Nothobranchius furzeri: one gene and its partner. The protein of the gene in region 1 interacts with the protein of each later gene in a pairwise test. Links are inferred from orthologs where the notes say so. Each region holds a gene or a part of one and is shown in the gene's direction. Other genes may lie near its edges.

Evidence for each region. The genes of interacting proteins can lie anywhere in the genome.
Region 2: the proteins of prpf40a (region 1) and ccnl1a interact in binary tests that used the Homo sapiens proteins (3 or more experiments, as listed by UniProt). The link is inferred for Nothobranchius furzeri from reciprocal best matches to the Homo sapiens genes PRPF40A and CCNL1.

Annotation. Positions count from the first base shown.
Region 1 is NC_091754.1:18,341,961-18,347,684, reverse strand, and holds part of prpf40a (pre-mRNA-processing factor 40 homolog A), read left to right. Parts: intron 1-2,962; coding exon 2,963-3,027; intron 3,028-3,105; coding exon 3,106-3,270; intron 3,271-5,724.
Region 2 is NC_091753.1:29,846,919-29,853,308, forward strand, and holds the start of ccnl1a (cyclin-L1a), read left to right. Parts: upstream 1-2,122; 5' UTR 2,123-2,229; coding exon 2,230-2,469; intron 2,470-2,665; coding exon 2,666-2,740; intron 2,741-3,246; coding exon 3,247-3,356; intron 3,357-4,926; coding exon 4,927-5,047; intron 5,048-5,147; coding exon 5,148-5,212; intron 5,213-6,291; coding exon of another isoform or gene 6,292-6,390. UniProt on the Homo sapiens protein: Involved in pre-mRNA splicing. Functions in association with cyclin-dependent kinases (CDKs). Inhibited by the CDK-specific inhibitor CDKN1A/p21. May play a role in the regulation of RNA polymerase II (pol II).

The DNA of each region.
Region 1 (5,724 bases):
TATTGCGCCTTCTTAGATTCTACAACCCCCCAAGGTGCTTCACAACACAATCACACACACATTCACACACTGATGGTGATGATGAGGTACAATGTAGTAGGGCTGGGCGATATGGCCTAAAATCAATATCACGATATATTGAGGATTTAACCTCTAACGATAAATAGACGATAACTACAGGTATGAGCGGAAACAAAAGTTGTCCACTAGATGGGGCTGTCACATGTATCATGTGGGTGGTACAGCTTCTTAAAGGGACACGAGTGTTGCCAACCTACACACATCTTTTTTCTTTTTTTTATTCTTTTTTTTTTTTTTTTTTACATTTATTGACCTGAGAATTTTTTTCAATAAGAGTTGGAAATTTTGATAACAATAAATTTTCGATTTATTGCCCAGCCCTACATTGTAGCCAAAGCTGCCCTGGGGCGCACTGACAGAGCCAAGGCCAGCCATACTCTAGTGCCAATGGTCCCTCCGACCACCACCGCCAGCAGGCAAGGTGTGTTAAGTGTCTTGCCCAAGGACACAACGGCAGCATTCTCTGGCAGGAGCTGGGACTGAACCTGCAACCTTCCGATTACTGGACAACCCTCTACCTCCTGAGGCGTCTCTGTCCTGAAATGCAGAAAGATGCTGAATAAAACACATGATTTGATGCATCTTATCTGTTCCGGGTTTCTGAGGATCTTTAAGATAGAATTTCCATAATTCAAGCTTTAAAATCCCTAAAAATGATAATCATTAATCCAATTCAAAGGTCTTAAAAACACCACAGACTCAATAAAAATGTTGGAAATCTCTGTTAAGTGTTTTCACATTTGAGTGGAAAATTCCCTCAGGCGTGTGGATATGGGTGCATGCACACACACCTGCAGCAGGGGTGCTTCAGGTTTTCTATATTTCTTTAGAGTTTGTGCAATTTTGACTGATCCTCGTGTTGTTGCAGCTCTCCTCTGAGTTTTATCAACACGTCCTTTGCATCTGGATCTTGCTCTAATCCCTGACCCCCTCATCTCTCTTGGTCCCCTGGGAGGTGTGTTAAGCTCACCTCCTGCTGCCATAGACGTGCCGTGCTTCCAGCCGCAGGTCCGCCCAGCGCCACCCACCTCGCATGTTGTTAAATTTAGACCCTTTTTAATTTTGTGCACAAAGCTCTCCTCTGAGATTGCTCGCCACTTCCTTGAAGATCTTAATGAGTCGGTCTTTATGATTAGCTTTATTGGATCACAGGCAGGAGGGGCTGGCTGGGATTAGGACGGTGAGAGAAAGTGGCATGCTCCTGTGAGTTAGAGTAGCTGTGACAAGTGAGGAGACGAGAGATGCAGAGTGGAATCGGGTCTTAATGGATGAAGGAGTCACGTTCTGGGCGCTTATATAAGCCCGTCTTGAATTATTGCCCCTCCACGCACACTTTAACACAACTTTTATTTAGGGACGCACCGATGGATCAGCATTTGATCCCAATCCGCTGAAAGTGCCCCTATCGGTTTTGATTGGAGTTTTCAAAATAGATCAAAGCAGACCGATCAGGTAGGGTTGTCATGGTAACTGGTGTAGCGGTAAACCCCGGTAAAAAATAATTTTTGACAATAATAATAACTGTCTTTTTTTTTTTTTTTTTTTTTTTTAACCGTATTATCTCGGTGGATTACAGTGGCTGCGGTGTAGGCGCGGTGACCCTTACCAGCCACCGTATCATCTGCTGAAGTTGCCAGCGGCACATGCGCGCTTTGTTGTTTACAGCCAAAACTTTCTTGAAGCTAAAGCTGCATTAATGGCCAAAGGAGTAGACGGCAGCGCTCAGGACATTTTTATCCCTCAAAGAAGACAAAGTGGGAAGTACGGGCATTTTTTGGATATTTGAAGAATGCCGAGGGACAGTTGATAGAAGACGGCTATCCTGTTTGCAGCATGTGCTGAAAAAGAGTCTGTGAAAGGCAGCAACGCTTCAAATCTCATGACACATCTGCGTGACCATCACCCACAACTCTACAGTCAACGCAAGGCAAGTTAACGTTAGCGTTTTAGCTAAAATGCGTGATCTGAGGATTTGGGTTGAGGGAGAATGCAACGAGTCGCTATATAAAGCAGCCGCAGCGCCGCTACCTGCATATAAACCGTGTCGCGGACACCTCCATGTTGAAATGACGCTATGCATTACGGGGCTCCCAGGAGCAGATAAGAGTTGGTCACTCTCCGAGAATAATTATGAATTTAACAATGATTACTGCCTGATGACATTTTCCCACATCTGCAAAGCTCACTGGAAGGACACAAACAGAGGACAATATTTTCCTGATATAGGGTTTATTACTCAAGTAAGGGTAAAAAAGTATCTGATTAGAAGGCTACTTGAGTACTGAGTGTCATCCGATCTAATATTTTTAAAATGATGACATCAAACAGACAAAAAATAAGAAGTTTTGGGCAAATATTGGTATTTTAAAGACTTAATGGGAAAAATGTAAACAAATAAACAACATTTAGGCAAAATTTAGACACAAACTGAGGACAATATTTCCTGACATACAGGGTTTATTTAATTGTGTGAAAATGTAGCACGTTTAAAAAAAATACCGCGATAATACCGAAAACCGTGGTAAATTTGGTCACAATAACCTTGAGGTTCAATTTTCACACCGTGACAACCCTAATACAGACCATTTTAGATTAGGTTACATTTCCTTTATTCCCAGATTATGTAGTTTGTAGCACTCATTATAATGTTGTAGAAAATTTCTGGCCAATCCACATGATCAGTATCGGTGATCGGTCTCGGTGATCAGCATTCTTTGATATCGGTATCGGTGATCGGCAGCAAAAAACCTGATCGGTGCATCCCTACTTTTATTAGTCTTTTTTTAACTGTGCTGCCTCGGACCAGAGACATTTTTTGCACATTTTCTCCCCCCCAGTTGAGATTTTTATTGAACTGATCTGAATGTTTTTGTTGATTTAGGGCGTGGCATCAAACTCCTCCTGGGAGCAGGCCATGAAACTGATAATCAATGATCCTCGCTACAGGTGCAGTATTCCCAGGATTCCCAATATTTACAGTAACAAGCTTCAACTCCGACCCTTACATTCAGCTTTCATCTGCAGCGCTCTTCCTAAGCTGAGTGAGAAGAAGCAAGCGTTCAATGCCTACAAAGTCCAGACAGAGAAGGAGGAAAAGGAGGAGGCCCGGATTAAATACAAGGAATCCAAGGAGACCTTCCAGAGATTCCTGGAGAACAATGAGAAGATGACGTCTACAACCAGATACAAGTACGTGCTGCAGTGATTTTTGTGTTTGTTCATGGATTGATTTGTGGCACTCTGAACTGTCAATTTGATTATGGTGACAGGATCAATGAAAGGTCACGTATGGTTTCTGCACACCATCAAGCAGCTGCAGCGCTGCTGGGCTCCCATCGGGATCTGATAGATTCTGTCTAGTTTTATTTATTCTTACAATAAAAAATAACATTTAGTTAAAATTTTGTATGAATTATGTTTTTAAAAATGGTTTCCAGCTAGTTTAAACTAAGGAATGTACTTATTCAATCATGTGATCGGAAATCGGGCCCCGGTCATGTGACTTGTACAGGATTGGATTTGATAGTTTCAGACACCATTAGGGATGGGTACCGAATTCAATACTTTTTAAGGCACCGACCAAATTCCAAAGTACCGACTGAGTACCGATTCACATAATATGAAACGGTGCCTTGTTTCGATACTCGTACCGCTCGCCTGGCGCAAGAGCGTATCTTGTCACTGTGGGTGTAAACAAAGCAGCACGGCAGAGAGGAAGCATTCTGAAGTTTGTGTCCACTGGGGTGGATAACTGGGTGATGATGAAACCAGCAACAACGATCTAAGTGAGGCATCATCATCTTAATCTGCTCCGGTAGGTAAATAAAATGATTAAGATGACGTTAGCTTGATGTGTTAGTTTCCATTCAGCTAATGGTGCGTTTGCTTACTCCTCGGAACTCCAAAATTCCGACTCGAAGAAAGCGAAGGCGCTCTAAAGTTTGGCTTCACTTCACTAAATGAGGTGGGCTATTGGGTGATGATGAAACCAGCGACAACGATCTGAGTATGAGGCATCTTAATCTGCTCCAGCAGCTAAATAAACTGTTTTATGTTAACGTTAGCTTGATAGTTTAGTTTTTGTTTACATAGCTAATGGTGCGTTCGCATTCTCCTCGGAAATTCCAACTTCCTAGTAGGAAAAATAAACGTTTTGAAAATGAACGGCAAAAGGAATGAAGATACGAAGTAAATTTAGTTCACAGCAATGATGTTTGCTTCGGTTTCATTTGCAGTTTATAAAACTACAAGGACCCACCATCACAGTTTGTCCAGAGGGGAAAGGAGAGGATTAGGAGTACATGGAGCTGGATTTGTTTTTGCATAATTTAGAAACGGTTGTTAAAGGTTTTCATATTGAAGAATTTTGTACAACACTATGATGATAAAATACAAACAGTTGTTTGTTATTTATCATGATATTGATCAAATATGGTTATATATTGGGAAAATAATATATATTTAATCAAAACGCTATTTAAATAATTATTATACACTCAAAAGTATTGAAATTTGATACCGTTAAGTATTGATTCGTAGGTACCAGGAATTGGTACTGTATCCATTCAGATGTCAAAGGTACTCATCCCTAGACAGCAGGCTAAAGGCTGGTTCATGCTTCTCCGTCAGCTCCGCAAGGGACAGACACACACGGATTGACGGAAGCGTTTTGCCCTCATACTTCTCCGTCTCCTGGGGAGTGTTGCAAAGCAATTCCCCGGCAGGACAACAGAGGGCGTAGCGCTGTTCTGTGGTATCCTGTCATGTATCGGTCCAAGATAGTGTGTTTATACTGTGTTTTTTTGTATGTAAGAGACGTTTTAACACGGACATATTTGTCTCTCATTCTCCTCCACCTCTTCATGCGCTCCCCACCTCTAAACCCACGTTTCCTGTCATTTCCGTCGACAAATAAAACGCTTGTTGCATATTTTTTCACTCCTCCAGTCACGGGAGGATGAAACGTTCTTATTTTAGAGTTTTTTTCGCGAGGTATTCTTCAAGCTTCTCCATGTCTGCCGCTAGTTATCCTCGGCTCTCTTTTATGTTTTTGAAGGCGCAATGGCGGCGGTGTAGCCGACAGCGGTGCCCTGACCAATCACAAGTTCTCCGTCTCGTTCGACTGATGTTTAAAAAAAGTGGGTTCAACTCCGTACGTACTTGCGTGCCTGCCGGGGCCCTACGCAAGGACGGATAATGGCGTTGCGTGTCTCCGCACTGACGCAGACGGAGAAGCATGAATCAGCCTTAATGCAGAACTAGCATGTCGCCTCATGAGACATAATGTCTGCAGTTTGGACGTATTTCAAACCAGACAGAAGGGTTAGCCCGTCGGCAATGGGCTGAGCCGTTACGATTGTTTTTAGAAGAGGCGATTTGTTTATTTATTTGCCTGTGAGTTAGTTTGTTAATGACGAATATTTGACACGTTATGCACAGAGAACCTCGCAGAGGTAACAATCAACAAAAGATCTCCATCCGCCCATTATCTCACACTTTCTCTGCCTCTCACTGCTGCCAGTGCGTGCAAACAGCACTGAAGAGGAGCTGGGGGAGCGTCTGTGATGCGCTCAACATCGTGCACAAGAGCACAGTGTTGAGTGGAAAGTGGAGATCCGTCTGTCTTTCAGAGACTCTGGAAGA
Region 2 (6,390 bases), on another chromosome or scaffold:
TGTAGCCCTCGACTTGGTGTTCTTCCTGGTAAGTTTGCATTTGTGCTTTTGGAAAAGTGTGAGGGAGTTGATGTGTGAGAGAGAATCAACTCTTTGCAGCTCTTTCTACGTCCCATGTGCATAAAAGCTGACATAAAAAGACTCCTTGATCCATCTGAAACATTCTAATTCTGTCACTCAACAAATGCTTGCACACGCAACCGTTTAAGTCAAATATGCATGCCATGCACACGCACAAAAAAGGTTTGTGATCTCACCACAGTGATTATCATTGTGGGGCAGGCATACATACATGTCCCCAGGGCAATCTGTGTTAGTTGCTTGTAAATACACACACTCCAGGGAGTGGTGTGTGTGTTTATAACTAAGCCCTTGTTCGTCACTGGGCATCCCCGACGCCTCTCTCCTGCGTCGTTATGGTCGTTTTGGAATTCTGCTGTCCCTCGAGCCCTCCCACACCCTATAATTAGCATCACCAGGGCAACAGGAGGAAGAATGTTTAGTATTCTGGTTGTCATGGTAACTGCGTAAGTGCTGGTCGGAGGTGCGAGGTGGAGGTGTTGGTTAATGACAGAGAAGAGACACTTCAGCCTGCTACTTTATGCAGTGCGTCACCAAGATCATGCAAATAAATCTGTGTGTGTGTGTGTGTGTGGGGGGGGGGGGGGGAATGATGTCTCATCCTGCTATTTAGAGCTTTGGACAGTCTGTGATAGTGGTGATCACAAGAAGTTTAGAATAGAACAAATAACCAAGTATATGAGCATGTCTGGAGACAATAATATGCTATTGAGCTCCTACTGAGTCCTCATTTCCTCCATCTACCAACTGTCTATGGATCATGTGATCTCTACATACCAGAGAACCAGCTCTAGGTTTACTGTGTCTCAGTGAATCTGTAAAGTAAGAGTTTTTTGTTGAGTAAAAATCGATATTGAATTCAATCTCACACAAACATTGTTTTAGTTCCTACAAGGAGATTCCCAATGAGGCATTTGCTAAAATTTGGTCCTCCACTTGTGTAATTCCTTCATTTTAAAGCACACTCACCACACTTTGTAATCAGGTGCAAGAGTTGGGCTGAACATTCGCAAAAAAGTAGTAAAATTTTACATTTAATTAACAATTTCTGGTTAATTGTAATACAAACGTAGTAGTATTGGTGGAGAAATTATGCATGCTGCACAAGTCCTTAGAATAAAGTGAGAAACCTGAAGAACCCCAGTGTTTAGTGTAGGTCAACGAACCAGTGATACTCTGCTGACCTCTGCTGTTCACTTTGGGCTACTGCAACACTTTAATCAAAAATTAGAAGCTGAGTGGTGGTGAACACTGTGTTCTTGCAAGCCAGGTGCCTCTCTGTTCCTCGGGACAAACTGTTCACACGAAACTTTATTAAGTGTTTAATTTTATTCGTGTATTCTTTTTTTAACCAATTGCAGATAAATTATTAAACTCATGAAAAATTATCCGATTCAGTAACTTGACTATTTAAGCAGCTTTTAAAACCGTAATAACCAATTTTAATGCCGTGGACATACTTTTTTAACCTTAAAAATAACTGCGTAGTTTGACCGAATTAATATAATCATATATATATATATATATATACTTTTTTTAATCGGCGGATGGATATGTTCCAGAGACAGCGGTGAGGAGTTTGTGCTTTCCCGTAAAATACGTAACAGAAACCATTTGTGGTGAGTCGGTTCCTCCTGTTGCACTTTGAAAAAAAAAAAGATACTGCGTAAAGTAAATAAAAAATATTTCATGAGGAAATTATTCTATTAAAAAACATATTTGTCAACACCAAATATGATAAGTGAACGATGAAAATCTAACCAATTAAACCAGTTTTGTTTCATTAAAGTCCAAGTTTTGGATCAATAGTTCTAGACATATTTGATTGACTTCCTTTATAGTTTTGTAGATGGAAAAAACGTAATAAATAGTTCCATATATTGTATTCATCTTTACACTGTATGATGACAATTTTAGACTAATAAATTTGTCAAAAAGTTTTAAATTAGCTCAAATATTTGTTAGAAAATGCTGAAAGGCTGCTTTAAGATGGGGGTTATTTTTCACCGCGGATGTATACACACTTGACGTCCTCCGCCACTAGGCAGTGACGTCACGTCCTTTGTCACCCGGCTGTCTCCCTCCAGCCGCCGTTTTGTCGAGGCTGCGCGAGTTCTAGCTGTTAGCTGTTTTTTTTGTCTGTCAAAGATGGCCGCGGGTCCTCTATCTGTCTCTTCTAACGCGTCCACTAACAACGATGGTATTCTCATTGGGGACAAACTTTACTCTGAAGTGTGCCTAACAATAGACAGCTCGCTGGTACCGGAGGAAAGGCTCTGTCCGACGCCATCTATGCTCGACGGCCTCGACGCTAACACCGAGACCGACCTCCGTATTCTTGGTTGCGAATTGCTCCAGTCGGCGGGTATTCTTCTCCGGTTACCTCAGGTACGTGTATTCGAAGATTTAAGACACATATTTTTGATATTTTGCTGTTATTCACGACAAACCACAAGTGGCTTTGGCAAGTCGCGGCCTTGGCGGTCTGCTGATGTTGGCGTGGTGGAATCAAAATGGCGGCGGGTATATTGTGTAAGGTTATAGGCCGGTTTATAGAATTTTTGTACCTTTTTGTCTTTGACAGGTGGCTTTGGCGACGGGTCAGGTTCTTTTCCATCGGTTCTTCTACTCCAAGTCCTTCGTAAAGCACAGTTTCGAGGTAAGATCATTAAAAAGTTTCGGCATTACCCAGTTGCCGGTGATGACAGCAAAGCACAGAACGTTCTCGTGACGTTCGTGGCAGCCATATTGTTTCCGAGTTTCCATATATTGGGGGGGGTATTTTTTCCATAAACCTAACAAATACGTACTTTTTAAAATTTACTATGGTTAACTTAACAGATTACGCCGGTTTATGCTAAAAATAGTGGTCACGCTAAACAAGTTTAAACATCACATCTCATTTAACTGTCGGTAGTAGTTTTCAAAGGTCAGCTAAACTGATCAGATAAATGCAGCACGTAACTATGCGTTACGGTTAGTTTTGGTTCGATAACTACATTTAGTGTGTCACTCACCGAAGACGCTTAATTGTAGTTACTATGAAGCCAGTTTTTTATTTTGTGGCAGAAATGGCAATAATCTTTGTCTTGGTTGACACTTGGACATACCACCAACAGGTTGGCGTACTGTTCCTTCAAATTTTGTCTTGTCGTCTTTTTTCAGATCGTTGCCATGGCGTGCGTCAACTTGGCCTCAAAAATCGAAGAAGCACCCCGACGAATACGAGACGTCATCAACGTTTTCCATCACCTGAGGCAGCTCAGAAGCAAAAAGTAAGTTGAAGCATTAAACTTTTCAGGATTTTTCTGTGAATTGTTGCTGATATGCTTCTGCTGTGAAAGTGCCCTTCTGTTTATTCATGCATTCTAAACCATTTAAAAACTTTTCAGTTCCAGCTTCATTGGTAGTTTTTAAAGGTGTTAAACATAAGTCTGTCAAAGATGAGGCATACCTACTTTGTGTGCCTCATGCTTTAATGTTGGTCTTGTTCTAGATCTTGGCATTAACTTGCTTCTTTTTTCCCTTGCAACCAACTAACAGCGACCAGCTACATTTACCAAAGCCTGGGTGATGTGGAATGGTACGTAAGATGAAGCAGTCGGCATGACAACCATGATGCGAGGGGGTCTCTGTCGTCCCCCCAGGCCCGCCCCATCCCCTCCTGTGGGAGACTCCGTGGTCTGGGCCACCGCGGGGCACTGGGATCGGGGATGACAGGTTGGCCGAAGGTCCTTGGCCTGTGGGGCACCTTGAGGACTCCTGTGGTTCAGTCTTAAGCTTTGGGTATCTGTCCGTATATCTGCGGACCATGGGGTAATGTAGCTTTTTTTCTCTGACTGCTTCTCACCATGCATTTTGATTTGTACATCAAAAGCAAACCTTCATTCATCTTCCACAAACCATGGTCTTCACAGAAATATCTTTGCTGTTGTTAAAGCTTGTTTGGGGTCCTTGCCAGTTAAGGGCCAGTCTATGTAGTGTAGCTCTATTATACATCTTGTTATAAATAGAAACCATCGTTTGTGTGATAAGGATGACATACACGCCTATAAGTAGTTTCTGGTTGCATATTTGGTTTTTCTATTTGGCATATGGATTGTTGGAAGACATTTTTGGGATGTGGTTTGTGGCATAATTTCTTGGAGATACCAAAACTTAAACTTTAGGAGTTTTATCATTAGTTTATAATAAAAGCCTCTTAATACTTAAGGGAAAGTTTTGCTGCATCAAATTGCAGACGGATGTAATTTTAATCTTTTAAGCAAAGGTTGATGGCATGAATTTAATTTCCTAAACTTATTCAGATAAAACTACATGCAGTGAAACTCTTTTTATTTATAATTTTTTTTGTAGTTTGTTTTTATTTATTTATTGGCAGACAGGTCAATGTTGGCATCAATTTGCATCATTGGCTTTTTTATTTATTTTTTTTATTATTTTTTTCTTTGAGTTTCAAGTAGATTTTCTGCTCTGAACGTCCTGGTACAGGTGGTGTGATACGTTGGTGATAGATCTAGTTGTGTGTGTGTGTGTTGTCTAAACAAGTATAGTTTTATTATGAGGTCAGGTGTATTGATGTGCCTTTGAGCAGCATGTGATATTTCTGCACAAGTTCTGGGTGAAGGATGAGGTCAGAGTTCATCTGTAGAGCCCTAAGCTGTCACTGAAACCACAGGAGTCCACAACCCCAGCCGGCACACTGTCAGATATGAAAACAGTAACTTGTTGCTTTCAGTTGGTTGAAGCGGGGAAAAGTGCAAGAATTCAGAAGGGTACTTTCCTATTTTTTAGATTTAAAATGAAATGGGAAAACAATTTTATTTTGATTCTTTTGCAAAATAGGACTCCAAGTCCATTGATACTTGATCAGAACTACATTAATACCAAAAACCAAGTCATCAAAGCAGAACGGCGGGTCCTGAAAGAGTTGGGCTTCTGTGTTCATGTCAAGCATCCACACAAGGTGAGTTTAAGACACTCTTCTCTTTTACATCAGTTTTGGTACCACTGCACAGGTTGTAGTCATCACTGCTTTGGTTTCAATAAAAAATATATGATTTCAGATTGTCGTTATGTACCTCCAAGTCCTGGAATGTGAGAAGAATCAGGTTCTGGTCCAGACAGCCTGGTAAGTTCCTTCCCGTCAGCAGCAGAGTGCCACCAGACATGGGCTTAAGGTGGAGTTGAACACGTTTCAAATGATTGAGCTGATGAAGAGCATTTGATGTAAACCTGTCAGGAGCTTGGAGCTGCCTCACTTAGGACACAAGTCCTGTCAGTCAAAGATGCTCAGGTGCTCTTTTTGGAAACGGCACAGGGCTGGGTGATGAATCGATAACAATATATTCTTCAAAATAACTTCTCAATAGACTTATGAGAACGGGTCGATAGAACTTTGATTTAAAGAAAAGAGCTTCAAGGCTCCTTAGCAGCCTGACAAACTCTGATAGCGGCTAATTTTAGCGTAGCTTTAGTCTGCTGCAGGTAAAAGGTTACATGGCGGGTAAACAAGAAAAAATGAGTGCCACAAACATAAAAAGGACAGAGGACAAAACAAATGACATTGCTGACAATAAGGGACCAAACAAATCAGTTATGTGGACGTAGTTTGGCTTGTAGCTCATAGCTGTGTCGCTAATATGTTGAGCGCAATTTCTGACTGTTAAGGATAACCACCAGGATGTAAAACTTTATGATCCCAGATAAGAGTGAGTTTGAAGTCGTGCATGGTGACTTTAAGCACCATGCATGTAACATTTATTTCACTTATTTTCTACACGGCATGCTCACATGTCCAGAACCAGAAGGGAAAGTCAAGACCAAACACGGAATATCTCTGCAGATTAATCGTTCCCTGCACAGTAGATTGCTACAGCAACTACAGAGAGAACATAAAAGATAGACAAATATAGTGATCTGTTTTATTTTGTGATATATCTCTGAAAACTAATATCATGATGGGAATTTTCTCCATATCACCCAGCCCTATTTGAAACACATTCAGCCACCATTTTGCCCAGGTCTGCTTTAGGTTCTCTGTCTTTTATTTACATAATTTGTTTTTATTTGTGTGTTTATTTTTGGGATGGCACAACTTCTTATTTTGCAAGCCTGCTACTTGTCTGCCCTTACATGTAAAGTGTTTATTTTGCGTTGCTCGGAGAACTTGGTTTAACTTTGTCCTTTCTCTCTACTCTTTGATTAAAGGGTAGTCCATGCTGGTAAGTCACATAAAGAACCTCTGAACTCTGCCTCCTCCAACCACATGACCTCAGGAAGCTCCCCCTCTTGGCTGGCTACCCCTCT